2 linked regions of the Rhinolophus ferrumequinum genome follow. The protein of the gene in region 1 interacts with the protein of each later gene in a pairwise test. Links are inferred from orthologs where the notes say so. Each region holds a gene or a part of one and is shown in the gene's direction. Other genes may lie near its edges.

Evidence for each region.
Region 2: the proteins of XRCC4 (region 1) and APLF interact in binary tests that used the Homo sapiens proteins (3 or more experiments, as listed by UniProt). The link is inferred for Rhinolophus ferrumequinum from reciprocal best matches to the Homo sapiens genes XRCC4 and APLF.

The regions. Positions count from the first base shown.
Region 1 is NC_046290.1:53,739,008-53,746,562, forward strand, and holds the start of XRCC4 (DNA repair protein XRCC4), read left to right. Parts: upstream 1-4,430; 5' UTR 4,431-4,492; intron 4,493-7,555. Other genes in the region: TMEM167A (protein kish-A), read right to left, coding at 4,198-4,200.
Region 2 is NC_046296.1:22,141,527-22,149,199, reverse strand, and holds the start of APLF (aprataxin and PNK-like factor), read left to right. Parts: upstream 1-4,482; 5' UTR 4,483-4,688; coding exon 4,689-4,784; intron 4,785-7,673. Other genes in the region: FBXO48 (F-box only protein 48), read right to left, coding at 582-785, 1,233-1,538. UniProt on the Homo sapiens protein: Histone chaperone involved in single-strand and double-strand DNA break repair.

The DNA.
Region 1 (7,555 bases):
ATTTAAAAAATTACTTTGACCACGCGATCAGAAGAGAAAAAGACTAGTAAGAATGGAAAAGCTTCCAAATACATGGAGTCAAATATGGTTATGAACCCTGGCTACTCATGAACATTTGGAGTTTTTAAAAACAATGCCCCGAAATTCGGATTGAATAGAGTGGACATCTACAGTTTCTCAAAGCTCTCTGGAAGTGTTTATTGTAGTCAGGGCTACAACCACTATGGACCAGCATCCACTTCAGTGGTTTTCAAAGTGTGGTTCATGGAACCCTGTCATGGGTTTATGAGGTCAAAGCTAGTCTTATAATACCAAAAAGATATCTGCCTTTCTATTGTGATTTTTCTGTGTGTTAATGGTGCAAAAGTAATAGTAGCAACAGAATTATCATCTTAACCAACTCCGTCTATCCCCAAACCACTGAGGCAAACAAAGGTTTCTTTTCTTCTTGAATTTCTTGTGGCACTAACGGCATTGTTGTATAATAAAAAGAGCCTAAGATTTGGTGACAAATCTGTTAAGTCTTAGCTTTGTGAAATATAAGCAGTGTGATCTTGGGCAAGGCAGTTAACTCTTCTGTGCCTTTTTCTTCATAAGCAATGTAGTCAATAATGTAAGTCTTTAAAAACTGGAGTTGTGCTTCATCGACCTTCACGAAGCACCTTCAAAATGATTTCCTTATTTATCCCTTCTTTTTGCCTAACTACTGTGTTTCCCTGAACATAAGACCTGATCTTATATTAGTTTTTGCTCCAAAAGACGCATTAGGGCTTATGTTCAGGGAATGTCATCCTGAAAAATCATGCTAGGGCTTATTTTCCGGTTAGGTCTTATTTTCGGGTAAACATGGTACTATTGTCAAGAGTTGAGGCATTCGATCATCTACTATCTGTGTCACTGCCATTTGTTTCTAAACTGGTCTCCCAAATTTTAATCTTCCTCTATTTAAATATACCCTCCAGCTGGTTTGTTACCAGCTGGTTTCCTTAAAAGCACACTATTCTTTTGCCTGTTCAAAGTGTTTACCAGGTAAGCAATTAAATGTCATCAAAACAAAGTCCTTAATATGGCAAAACCCCCTTCAAGATCTGGCCCCAATATTTCTAGTCTCATCTCGTCATTTCACTGCTGAACTTCTATTCCTGCCAGTCTCCAAGCAAGTATTCAACAAGATGCCCTTTGGCTCCACAACGGCCATTTCCTTGATTTATCTACAGGATAGAGGACACTGTCCCAGTTCTAGCTAATGATTGCTTTCCTAATCTAGCTAATGATTCCTTCTCTAATCCCTAATCAGTTTAACTCAGGGGTGTCCAAACTGTTTTCAATGTTTTTTACCAGGGGCCATATGCGGTAAAATACACAAACAGCCGGGCCACTCACTCGAGGTGAAGTACGTATTGCCTCACCTGGTTTATTTAAATAAACTAAATATATTTTTGGAATTTGCTGCGGGCCAATTAACAATGGATTGCGGGCCGCAGTTGGCCTGAGGGCCGCAGTTTGGACACCCCTGGTTTAACTATAAAATGTGGGCAATAGCTCAAACTCTGCAGGGTTTGTGAGCATTAAATGAGATTATCTGTACACCACTTAAGATACCAACACAGTAAAATGAAAATAAACTTGCTTAGGTTCACCAAGTAAAAGATGGGAACTGGCAATGATTCTGACCCTATTTGGCTCAGTATAAAGCCTTTATGGTCTATATGGTCTTTCCACTACATATACTGTCTTTCTTCATGCTAGCAGATAACACGTGGAATTTAGTTATGTAATAATCTTCCCAACTGGACTGTGAAGTCCTTGAAGACACTGAGAATATCTTATATGACTTTGTATCTCCAGACTCATTCATTGGAGTACTAAGTCTAATTGACACTGTGATGTAGATTAAAAGTCTTAGTTTCTACTTTAAGAACTCTGCCCAGAGAGGAGAGAAATATAGGCAAGACCCTATTGCTTTCTTTCTTGTGTTAAGTGCAATGCTAGAGGGATGCTGGAGGTATAGACACGGACTATGGATGCTCAAACGGATACCTAAAAGCAGTAGAGAAAGAGAAGGGGCAAGGAAGGCTTTTTGGGAAGAGATAAATTTCAGATGAATCTTGAAGGATGTAAAGGGTTAGGGAGAACAAGGCATTCTGAATTTGTCAAAAGTATTAACTCATAAGTATTAACTCATTGTCAAGACTGTTTATGTCTGATAGTTGTACACTGTTACTGCTGATAAACATCTGATGGCCTTGAAATGCATTTAAAAAACTGAATTCATTAAAATACGGTAGTTCAGATTTGAGTCATTATTATTGGGTTATCTCGCAAACACCTGTGTATCAAGTTTAGAAGGAAACTCAAAAAGAAACTGCATTGTGCAGTTCTTCCAACTACAGTGTACTTTCTCTAAAATGCTGACATCCTAAGCTCACAGGAACAGAGCAGGAATGAAAAATTAATCACCTGGCAGTTTCTATTATCCACCCATGTCTGATCGGCATATTATAGTTGAGGGCAACAGATCACTAAGACATATCGGTTATGTTGTTCTATTAACAACAGCCTGAACATTGCTGGCACCTGGACATTAAGGTAACTTTGAGCCCTGGCTTCACTACCTATTAGGTGTGTGACTCCAAGCATGTCAGTCTTTTTGCTCCCTGACTTCCTTCACATGTAAACATCTACTCAGAAGTTTTTCAAACACAGCCTGGCATATATCGAGTGCTAATAAATGAGAGCTACTATTGTTACATTTGAAAAAAACAAATATGGCCAGTTTAAACACTATTGATTTTAATTACAGTATCTGTCTTCCTTTCAGCTAGTACATAAGATAATCTGATGATGAAAAGAATATATCTTTGACTTGTACTAGGAGTAAAATAATTCAATTTCAGCTTCTAGAAGATATGCAAGAATTAAGAGTAATAGTCCCTCTACTCTTTTTACATTGAAGAAGGAACCACATTTTCTAAGTTAAGTAACCGCTCACTAGTGATACTCTAAGAGCACCTATCATATGATAGGTGGGGAAAGAAGCTGCAAAATATTTATGGCCAAGGAAGGAATAACCTGCCACAAACTGCCATCTCTTCGTTAAGTGGTAAACTTCTCCAGGGAAAAGTCTGTGACTTAAACCCCACTATAATCAAAGCAGCTGAATAAAGCAAGCAACAAGTAATGAGTTTTCAATTAAATGTCTAAGGGCTTTGTGCTGCAGGAACATCTGGCAACCCAAGCACAGCAACTTTTCAGCATTTTGGGTATCATGGTTGCTTTCGATACAACAATAGAAGGCACATATCCTTTCCCCAGAAATATGCTCATAAATACATTTGGGACGTGAACTTCATAAATTCACCATGAGGGCCCAGTGTAAAGGCTGGTGGCATTTACTATAACAAAGCCTGGGAGATTATACTATCACTACTTCTACCACCTCTGTCCTCTGACCAGGCTGGGTTACTTCTTTTTTTTTCAACCTGGTGACGTACGCATTCTTTTGCGAACTTTTGTGACTTATTTCAAACTTTTCCAAGCCGGCCCAAACTGTCAAAAGAATCTGCAGTAATACAAAATAACACATTTAACCTTAACTGAGTGTGGGAAACGGGAGGACGGCTGGAGGCCAGGCACCACTTCAATTACCTTTAGCTCCTAGAAGAGAAACCACCTCTGCAGAGAACGCCAATCGTTAAAATGTATAGTTTGTAAAATAGCATCTTTAGGGTTGAGAGAATGAAGGAGAGGCCTAAAATTTGGGGTGTACTGGACAATGAAATAAACACCTGGGTGAGGCCCATGGGGAGATAAGGCGAGGCAAAAAAAAAAAAAAAAAAACAAGCTTAAATTCGACTAGTAAGGCCTCAAAGGGTCAAGGACCGCTGAGTCTATGAAACCGACGGGTTAAGCCAAACCAGCACATTTCTTCCTAACAAGTCAAGAACTGGCTCCGCAGGACAGGATGGGCTCCGCGACCCCGGGGTCTTAGGCAGTCTGTCCTGGTTCTCCCGGGTTGGGCATGCAGAGGCCACATGGCTCCAAGGCCTGCGCATCCTCCGCACCCCCGCAAAATCAAGTTAGTGACAGGATTCCCTGGCCCGCGCACCCACTGCTGCCGCCCAACCCTTCAGTCCTAGTTCGGGCCCACCGACCCTTTACAAAGTTCAACCGCGATCCCACAGTCCCGGTTCTTACCATAGTGAGGCCGGCGAAGCCTCAGCCACATCACCCTTCCGGGCCCAGGGCGGAAAAGGCGTGCACTCCCCGCCTGCCCTTCTCGCTCCCTCCCGCGGTCCGGTTGGACCTGTCAGGGCACCTCCTCCTGAGCCGCGCGACTCAGACGCTAGGATAGGCTCCTCTCTATCGGAAAAGGCGGGTTTAAAAGACATCATGCTACCGTGCGGAAGTAGATGACGCTCTGATTGGCTGCGGGACGTCAGCCTGTGGGAGCGGGCCTTTTGGAGGAGACCGGAAGTGGAGTCACTGACAGGTAGGTTTCGGAAGTGGGGAGTACCTCTGTACAATATTAACTGTAGTCCGGTCCTTCTTTTTTTCTTGTTCTTTCGTCCCACCCCTTTTCTTTCTAATTTTTTCCCCCTGTTATTTCCCACTGGAACTCCGTAGTGCGTGGACATTTCCCAGCTCTAATCCCCCTCAATGTGTAAGCTACTGGGCCCTCGGTTTGTTGCCTGTCGGAGATGGCTTGGGTTCCCTGGCATTAACCACAGGGCCTGCACCTGCTGGGCGTCCTTTTCAGTTTCTCCCGTTGCACCCGAGGGGTTCTTTGGATTGCAAAGCGCCTTTGAAATTCCTTGTAAAATTCTGGGATTAGGAGGACACTTGAGTCTGGATGGTTGTGTTGATAAGCTGTTTGATCATTTCCCTAACACTGGCCTTTTCTCTCTCCCAATCCCAAATTTGTTGCACACTGTCAGTGGGTTGCATCTGGGGCTGAAACATTCTCGGCCCTTTGGGATCAGGAAAAAACTTTCTGTAGTAATAAATGAAAAGGAAAAGCCCTTTCCTGAGTTCAGTAATTATTTCTCTAGAGAAGTGATCCATCAGCAAGACAAATCACATGCCAGCTTTTTCTTTAAATCAGTAGTGTTATTTAACTTCCTCTAATTTTAAAATCCCATTAGACGAAGCTCTATCCCCGCCCTCCACCCCCTCCCCGTTTTTGTCTTTGTATATTCTAGATGGAGAAACAGACACGTTGACATGTTCAGTTTGCATAGTTCTTGGGAGTTTCTAGAAGTCGGAGGCGCAGAGTTTATACTTTTGTCCCCTTAAGTGAATCAGAAAATTATGGCAACTCTTTGGCTCCAAGTGTATAGTTAATTTTTTCTCAGGCCGCAGAGGGTTCTTTTCAGAATGTTGTTTTTTAAATACTTTATTAACTCAGAAAGTGAATTGAAAAAAATAAGGAAGGGAAACTCATATGAGTTGTTGATTTATGTGGTGTATATGGCCAAACTATGAGACCCTTCTATATTTACTGCAACACGGTGATTAAACATTTGGATTGCTGCTATCTGTGATTACATTGTTCACTACAACAGACAAAAAAAAAAAACACAAAAAATTGTAACTACTTTGAATCTATTGAATTGTCAAGAGTTGGTCAAATATACACTTTTAGGAAGTATTTTCTGAGCTTTCTTCAAGGGAAAATGAGAGTGCAGCAGAGGAATAAAGATGGCCTCTTGGAGAAATTTAATGTTCTCCAAGAAATTTAATGTTCCTGCGAGAGGGGATGTTCCTGCGAGAGGGGAATAAGAAATGTATCAAAATGTACTGTACGTTCCTCCTATCAAAAAAGCCATTTAATGCTCTCCCTTGTAATTGCTTTACATTATACCTAAGTCTGGCCATTCTAATTAATCTTGGCTTAGGAAATAATTTCCAAATTAACCTTGGAAATTATGTTGTGCGACTCATCAAGCTGGCTTCTAACGTAATAAATGTGTCTGTAGACTTTATAACTGCTTTTGCTTTCATGTGAAGATCATTTGGATCTTTATGAACACTTAGGGTAATATACTTCTGTGTGAAGCTGTGAAGCTACCTATCAAGAGCACCAGGAAACTGGAGTTGTTAAAGACCAGAATCGATTTACCATATTTATGGATTATAATTAATTTTAGGCCATGAAGTTTTATATATTTCAGCTTCAAACTAGTAAAGAACAATGTTTGCCAGTTATTTTAAAGTTATCCATAGAATAACACAATGGTTTATTATGTATTTATTTATTTTCATGTAACAGCAAACAAAGGTAATCTGATCTGTGGTGAGAGTCTGGGGAGGTTGTCATGGAGCTACTTGGTGGTTAAGCACATAAACCCCCTGCTTTTGGTTTTCACTGCTAATAAACTCATTTAAGTACTAGCTCACATCACTAACTAGAAATCTCCTTTCTGGCAGCTCTGCTATGGATTCTCATTTATTACTAAAGCATCTCAGATCATTTTCTTAACAAAACTAAACTCTGACGGTGTCATTCCTTTGTTCAAAAATTATTGCCTCTCCTGCATCTAGAGAGTATTTTAAACTTTGGTTTCATGGGTTCCCTAGAATTTTATGTAAAAATAGCACATATTTATATTTTTCTGTGGAGAGATTGCATAGGCTTCTCCAGTATTACAAAGGTTAAATACGTTAATACAAGTAAAAAGTATTTGGCATGCGGTAAGCACTCAGTAAGCATTGCCTATTGCTGTGTGCCTGGCTTTTTGTTTCACTAAATTAAAAACTCCTTGAAGGGAGGGATATTGATGTACAGCTGATTGACTTCCATGTTAGCATGCAATAAAAGGTTTTTAAATTAAATTGGTATTGCTTTTATACCACCAGACTACTTTCTCCCCCTTTTCTCTTCTTACTTTGCACATAGTATGGATAGTGTTGAAGGTTTCCTTTTATTTGGTTTCCCCTTTTCTTATTCACTGATAGTCACATATATTAAAAGACAATCGTTTTACTTAATAGCTTGTTTTCTCTGATCCTCAAATAGCCTTTATAGTCTTAGGTTGAGGTTCTTTGTATTCTAGTGTTTGTCCTTTCCTCACCTCTTTTTTATTCTCTTTCCTCATGGGTCTTAGATTAAGATACATAAAAGTTTGTTTTTGACTTGCATGTTATTTCTTTTGCCTTAAGAAATAACCTTTCTCTACTCCAACCCATTTATTTGCTCTTCTAAACAAATATCCACAAGGAGTTCTCTGTGCTCCAAATCCCAATTTCTTTTTTTTTTTCCCTATTCTTTCTTGTGTGGGGGAGGAACAAATTTTTCCTCCTACTCTTAGAAATTTCTAATGGCTGGACTTATAAATTAAAATAAGACATTAATGACCAAACTGTACTTACGGGGATTTCGTAAGAATATGAGACAATGATGTAGATGATATTGGATCTGCCGGCAGTTTCTGGGTGTGGGCCGGGATCCCATCTTGTGAAGCCGAAGAATGGACACAGGGACCAGGAAGAGGCAAAAAGTTTTAAAAAGAGGATAGTTTATTTGAGGCAGGAGAAGAGGTTGCAGCTCCCGAGT
Region 2 (7,673 bases), on another chromosome or scaffold:
TAATGGGAACCTTAATCTCACAAGTTTTAGCCCTATGGTCAGATTAATCACAAATTTAGCACATTTTAAAATGGTTTCAATGTTTGACAATTCCATCTAATTCCACTGAAATGGAAATTTTAGTTTTTGAAATACAAATTTATTATACATTTAAACATATTGTTATTAATTTCATTTAAATAAGTCCCCCCAGGAGCCTAGTTATACCTACCACTTAAAGAATCTCTAAGTCAATTTCTTCAAATGGGTTCCAGAATTTTTGAATTATCATTAAGCAGAAAATACCAATCAAACTCTCTTATTATTAAAGCACCACAATATATTAAGACATATACATGAAATAATACATTTTGTAATTACTCTATTAGCATTGTATTTCTTATATAAATAATATTTCATGATTTTTTCACATTACAGTAAAACCAGAAAAATATTTTTTTCTAAAGTGTCAAGTAAAAACAGACTTTACTTTTATAATATTTTCTACTTAGTTTTCTTTTAAATGTTAAATATTTAAAAAGGTGAACAAAACAATCAATAGATAAAGCTATATCTTTTGCAATCTCAGAGTCATTTTAGTTTTAAACTCTCAAAGTTATGAGATCTGCTTGTGATTTTTCTGCATATCTTTTCAGTTCTGCTTCTAGAATTTCCCCCCATGTTTCTGCATCCATCGGGTACATGATTTTTTCTGGTAGGCTACCAGGAGAACATATGTTGCTGTATCTTCCGGTAAGCCATTCAAGTTTCACTTTACTCTTCTGGTAATTCCTCAGTAGTGTGTCCTGAAAGAGGTAAAACCATCATCGTCAAAGAATGTAGTAGGTGGTTTGTTAGTGAGTTTGTTTGAAACCAGAGAAGCTGATTGAGGCTAAAAAGATTAAGTATTTTGTTATGCACATATACTAATAAATGTGTGTGTGAGTGTGTGTGTGTGTGTGTAGCACCAGAGTTTGCTGGGGGTTTTGGATAATGTGGAGTGAAAACAAGTAGCCACTATCCTTCTGATTAACAGACAAAAATGCCCAAATTTAGGATTTAAAAAATGTAAAAGGATGGATGGGAGATACTGTGTTTTGCAGGAACAGAATAATTCACCAAGTCCAAAAGCCAACACACTCTGTATGTCATTCTGTTTATGAAATCCTAACTCTTCCAAATAAAAGGTAGAGTTGGTTCAAACCTACCACCATATTGTTAAGAACACTGCAGACCACAAAAAGGAAACTTACCCTCCAGGAAAAACCACTTTTTCGATCGTCATCTATTTCTCTTTTGCACACAACTCTCACAGCTAAGCAATGAGGCTCCCATAAGGAGTCATTGTTGCTTACTGCGGAATTCCACCTCTTGCATGTCATTGACGCCCTGCACAAACTCCGCATGTCCAGCTGACTGAAAATTTGTACGTAAAGTTCGTCAGGTAGCTGTTCAAAAAACTTATTTTGATACTCTTTGTTTTCCTTCTCAGCATCCAAAGAGTTCAATCCTATGTCAGAAACTCTTGAATTATTGTTCCTCTTCAAGTTCTTCTGCATAGCTTGATGTTTTAGTAAATTATCCTCATATGTCACCTAAAATGCAGAGTTTAAACATACTTAGTCTCTTCAGGTAAGACTACAGAACCCACTCTGAGCCAGATACTTTCTGGGAATGATTTAAAGAACTTTAACTTTCTCTACTTGAGATTCTCAATCTGTAAAATGGGTCCAATGATACTCCTCTTGTGTGCTCTTGCAAGGATTAACAGGGGTAACATGTAAACCATCTAGCCTCACATCCGAATTACACATTGGAGGCACTCAATGCATGTTACTTCTCTTCTTTTTAAAAATATTTTTAGTAAAAGGGTTTGTCTCTAAACATTAGTTTTTCCGCTCCCAAAGAACATTGTCTAAAAAAGAGAAGTGATTCTTCACAGACTATAATTTATTGAGTTTAGTAGAAATGACTATTGTGAAAACACATTTGACTCCAAATATTTATTGAAAATACCTTTGGAATGCAGACTGGTGCAGCTGTTATGGAAGGCAGTGTGGAGGTTCCTCAAAAAATTACGAATAGAATTACCATATGACCCAGCAATCCCTCCCCTGGGTATCTACCCAAAACATCTGAAAACGTTTATACATAAAGACACGTGTGCTCCAATGTTCACTGCAGCTTTGTTTACGGTGGCCAAGACATGGAAACAACCAAAATGTCCTTCGATAGATGAATGGATAAAGAAGTTGTGGTATATATACACAATGGAATACTATTCAGCAGTAAGAAAAGATGATATAGGAACATTTGTGACAACATGGATGGATCTTGAGAGTATAATGCCAAGTGAAATAAGTCAGACAGAAAAAGCAGAGAACCACATGATTTCACTGATATGTGGTAAACCAAAAACAACAAAAGAACAAGACAAACAAATGAGAAACAAAAACTCATAGACACAGACAATAGTTTAGTGGTTACCAGAGGGTAAGGGGGTGGGGGGTTGGAGATGAGGGTAAGAGGGATCAAATATATGGTGATGGAAGGAGAACTGACTCTGGGTGGTGAACACACAGTGGGATTTATAGATGATGTAATACAGAATTGTACACCTGAAATCTATGTAATTTTACTAACCATTGTCACCCCAATAAATAAAAAAATCATTAAAAAAAGAAAACACCTTTGGAAATGTATATAATTCAATTCTATTAAACTCCTGAACACTTGGTGTCTGTGGGAGCTGATGCCTTGTCATTAAGTTCTTTATCTACAATTTGTGACTTAATCATAAACCTGATGGACATTTAGTAGTTTATATAAGACTTGTTTATATATTTGTACCTAATGGGTAGATGCAAACCTTTGACATAAACACTATCTGAAATGGACAAGAGGTTGAGCTCAGTGTCATAATGACACAAAGTCTCAAATATTCTATTCAGTTAAGTTATAAGATTAGCTTCTAGAAATAGCCTCTTGAAGCTACCTACATACATAGTTAATTATGAACCAAGGATAATAGTCACTGAGGCCATCAAGCAACAGTAACTAAGAGCTATAGACAATGTTTATAATTCAGCAAGGTATAGCACGTGACTAAAGATTTAAAGTCCAGTTTCAGCTAATTTACCTAAGGGACATGGTGTAGGCTTCTGAAATCAATGGAAAACATGGAGCTATTTTTGCACATAAAGATAGCTTATACTTACTTACAAGCAGTTTATTCCATTTTGCACTTCTTAATAGGAAGTGGTGGTTTCGGAGGAGGAGTTTGAGATACAGCTAAAAACTTCTTTTAACTTAGCTCACCACAATTCCCGTCTAGATTAGCTCCTCAACCTGTATTTCTGGATTTGCCAAGACCAATTGCTCCCATTCATTTGGTTGTGTATGACCCAAATTAACCGTGTTGGTTAGAACTTTAATGTCTGTCTGTGTTCATCAGAGGACTTCCTCTTTGGGGAAGAAAGCAAACTGCAAAAACAAGTTCATGAGTCAACCGCAAGTTTTTGCCAGGCACCTCCCCTCTCTCACCATCAATACAAACCAAAGCCAAACTACCATATTCTTGAAAAGACTCCCTTTAGTAGAACGTTATTGTTTGTTACTACTCCCATGATCTCAGTGGGGAATAAAATGCGTCCTCTCCGTTACAGGTACTCCACAGAAGACCGATGAAGGCTTTTGAATCTAACAATCGGGGGTGCCTCGGTGAGGTTCCTAAAACCCCAGTGGGCATCTTTCTTCTTCTAAACCCAATTTTGTCTGGATGCCTGCAAAACTATCCCTTTTCTTCCTCCTTTTGAGGAACCAAGCCGCGCTGCCAAATTACCTCTAGTTAGGGAAGAGCTCGCCCCAGGTGTCACACGGAGGGAGGGATCCGGAGGCAGCTCGGACCTCCCGGCTCTCAGGGAGCCCCTAACCTGTCCAGACCCCTCAGGTCGGAAGGAATGACCCCGAGTCCCATCTGAGCCACCCTTCTTGCGTGCCTCGCCCAGGCTGCAGCTGCCGGAGTTCAAAGAACACCGGGCACTGACAAATGAACAATAACAACTCTGTCATTTCAGGTCCGCGCCGCTGAGCAGAGGTTGCGATGGCGCTGGGTCCGGGCCCCAGAGCTTGCTTGCCCGATGTCAGCGGGAAGGGAAGAGCCTCCTACCTGCTGGGCTCTGGCAGCCTCTTCTCCGGCGATTTACATCCTCTGGCCTTTGAGGCATTCCCCACACACAGTCCCTCTGATTCCACCCACCCTAGCCCCACCTCTTGTTGACTCGGATTTCGCGCAGGCGTAGAGAGGAGCGCGCATTACCTTTCGGGATTGGTAGTTTTACCAGGGGGCCTCAGCTCGGCAAAGGAGGAGAAGGAAGGCGCTATGGACTACAAGGTCCGGCGTCCTCCAAGACGGGAGGGCGGGGAGAATGATGGGGGGGGTGGTCTTAACCGGGGCTTTTAAACACTAGTTTGAGAAGGTGTGATAGGGGAATCCCCGAGTGCGTCACAGGTACGAGTGGAGGGGCGGGGCTGGGGAACCTGTTTCTGGGGTTCCCTACTGCGCCGGGACTCGACGCGCCCGAGCCGAGTCTTTGCTTTCCTCCCCTAGTGTTTTTTCCGGGCACCTTTGTAGGCCCCGCGCGTGACCAGGGAAGGCGGAATCGGCTGCGGGGATCGACTCCTTGCGAAGGGGCCTAAGCCTCGCCGCCATGTCCGGGGGCTTTGAGCTGCAGCCGCAGGACGGCGGCCCCCGGCTGGCCCTGGAGCCCGGGGAGACGGTGATTGGCCGCGGGCCGCTGCTGGGAGTAAGTGTGGCAGGGGGCTGGGCAAGACCCGGAGAGCCGGGCTAGTCCTTGCTGGCTCCTGAGGCCCAACTCCCCGTCCTGGCCCGATTCCCCACCACGCCAGCCCTGCCTGTCTGGATTGTAGGGGTTTGGGGGCAGCACGTTTTTCACTCAACTCGAATCAACTCTCAAACGTTTCCTTTTGTTGCTTTCAAAAAGAAACTGATCAGTGTTATCATCGTTATAATCGTACCCAGAGGTGGGCAAACTATGGCCCAAACCAGCCTGTTTTGGTATGGGCCCGAGTACGAAGAATGATTTTTAAGTTTTAAAATGTAAAGGAAAAAACAACAACCGATTTGCCTTTCAGGGAGAATAATTGCTCCACAGGTTGTGGATATTGTCCCTTGGCCTGACAAGCCACAATATTTACAGTAGTATCTGGCCCTTTACAGAAGAAGTTTGCCAACCTCTGATTTTATCTTTTCTAGAATAATTTCTTTTAAAGCTTTTGACCTCTTTTGTGGGACTGCGTGGCCTTACTTTTATTGTAATAGTCTTTTTGAGTCGTATCAGTCGCTAACCCTTATGTAGTGTGTAGTAAAAACCATATGAGTTAGGTCATTGTTCAGACGAGAAAATTGAGCTACAGATGGGTTATTTAAAGGGCACACATAAGCTTTTGGACACATAGTGCCACTAAGCTATGTATTTATTCTCTACCTTCTTTGGCATGTTTAGTAGGAGTTAGGAAATTGGCCTGTTGCAGTTTGGAGTTTTATAGATCTGTCTATATATGGATGTGTATATTGTTTTCTTAACATTCAGCATTTCTTTTTCAGTGCCCAGTTTGTGTAACACATTTGTAGATCCTAGCACTGTGGGATGTGCAAATATGAATGAGACATGGGTCCCAGCCCTCTAGGAGTTTTCTCTTGGACTGTGGAGACAAACCTGTGTCAGTGAGCTAATGCCAGGGAGTAAGGAGTGTGGACAATTTATTATCCTGGTTAACAGCAGTGTCTAAATGGAACCATTGGTGTTAACCTTGGGATCCTTCTCCAAGCAGGAAAAGGAGTGGGCATTGAAAGTTGTAATTAGGAAGTCAGTCCTAAAGAGGGGTGTGTGTGTGTGTGTGTGTGTGTGTGTGTGTATGGGTACATATATGTATATGTAGTAAGGTTAATTAAGAAAGTTAAAGTATACCTGCTATTTATTTATTTTTTTTTGCTGGGCAAGTAATTACTTAAATGTTTAAATAACATTATTATTTTTCTCCTAAACATTTGAAGGAACTGCCTGGGGCGGGGGAGGGTAGGGGGGGCGGTTTGTTCTCTCCTCCCTTCCCTTTCTCTCTCTTTATCTAAGTTAGAAACTTAAGTATGTGTTTCATCTAGAAATCTTTTGACTGGTGACTAAAAAGTTTTGATTTGCTTAACAAATTGTATCACCAATACAGAGTACTATAGATCTGGTTAAAAGATCGATGAGTTGTAGGCTTATGTTTTATCAACATGCCAACAGGTTATAGACCTTTTTATTATTTATAGCTTGATCTTTTGTGTTACAGGTTTGTTATTGTGAGATGAGGCTATTTGGTTTCTGGTTTTGAAAATGGTAAGGAGTAGAAAGTCAATTATCTGGTCTGGATTTTGCTTTTCCTTTTCAAATAATCATTCAGTGATGAGAAACTATTGCCAAGTTTGGCAGATATTAGAAGTGGTTATGAACGATACCCTCCACGCATTGAAGGAAAAGTTTGAAGTGCAAACAAATCATCTTGAGGTTTTTAAGAATTTGGAGCTGACAGAGGTATGTGTTTCTTCTCTGCAGTGGTTAAACCCAACATGAGGGCGGTTTTTTCAAACAACAGCAATTTCAGTCAGGATTCTTTTTCTTTTTTCTTTTTTTGGTAGTGTGAGAGAGAGCAAAGACTTAGTTCTAAGTGGGAAAACTCAGGAAGTTCATTGTAAATTAGTATCCATCTGAAATGATTAATTATAATAAGTATGATTTTTGAGCTCTTACTTAACTAGCCATGTTTTTTGGAGACAAGTTTCACAAAACTATGGTCCCACAAGCATACAGGTTTATAATTTCAACATGTAAAACAGTCTTAGTGGTAAAACAATTTGACAACGAGAATGTCTTTATATCTTTACAGTGGCAGGAAAAACACTAATAGATAACAGAGCAGAGTGAATTTAATTTTTCATTGTGCCCTTTGCTTTAGTATGAGTCATCAGCAAACCCAAGGTCGTTGTTTACTTACTAGGTTGTAATTCTGTCATGATCTGTACAAATTAAAAGGGTTTACAGCAGGATGAATCTCCAGGGAATTATTATCCTGGGTGAAAACAGCCAATCCCAAAGGTTATATATTGTATGATTTCATTTACATGACATTATTGAAATGACAAAATTATAAAAATGGAGAACAGGCTAGTGGTTGCAGGGGTTAAGGAAGGGGGGAGGACAGCAGGAGGGAATTGGGTATGACTATAAAACAGCAATCGAGGGGATTTTTGTGGTGATGGAAATGTTTATATCTCAACCTTATCAATATCAATATTTGATTGTTTTGCAAGATGTTACTGCAGGGGGAAACTGGGTAAATGGTGTGAGAGATCTTTATTATCTATTTCAACTAGATGTGAATCTACAACTATCTTAAATAAATTTAATTAAAAAGAAGATTTTTACAATATAGCATCTCAAGCAACAGAGTACTTTTAGGCCAAACTATTGCTTTATGGTTTTTCTTTAATTAAAGCTGAAAAGTTATTATACTCTTAAGTGAAAACTACTGTTTCTGATTTCAAATTTTCTTCATTCTGTTTTGGTAGCAGGGATTATATGACATTCCTTTATGAGCTATTTTCCTCGAAGGAACTAGGACAGTGCCAGATA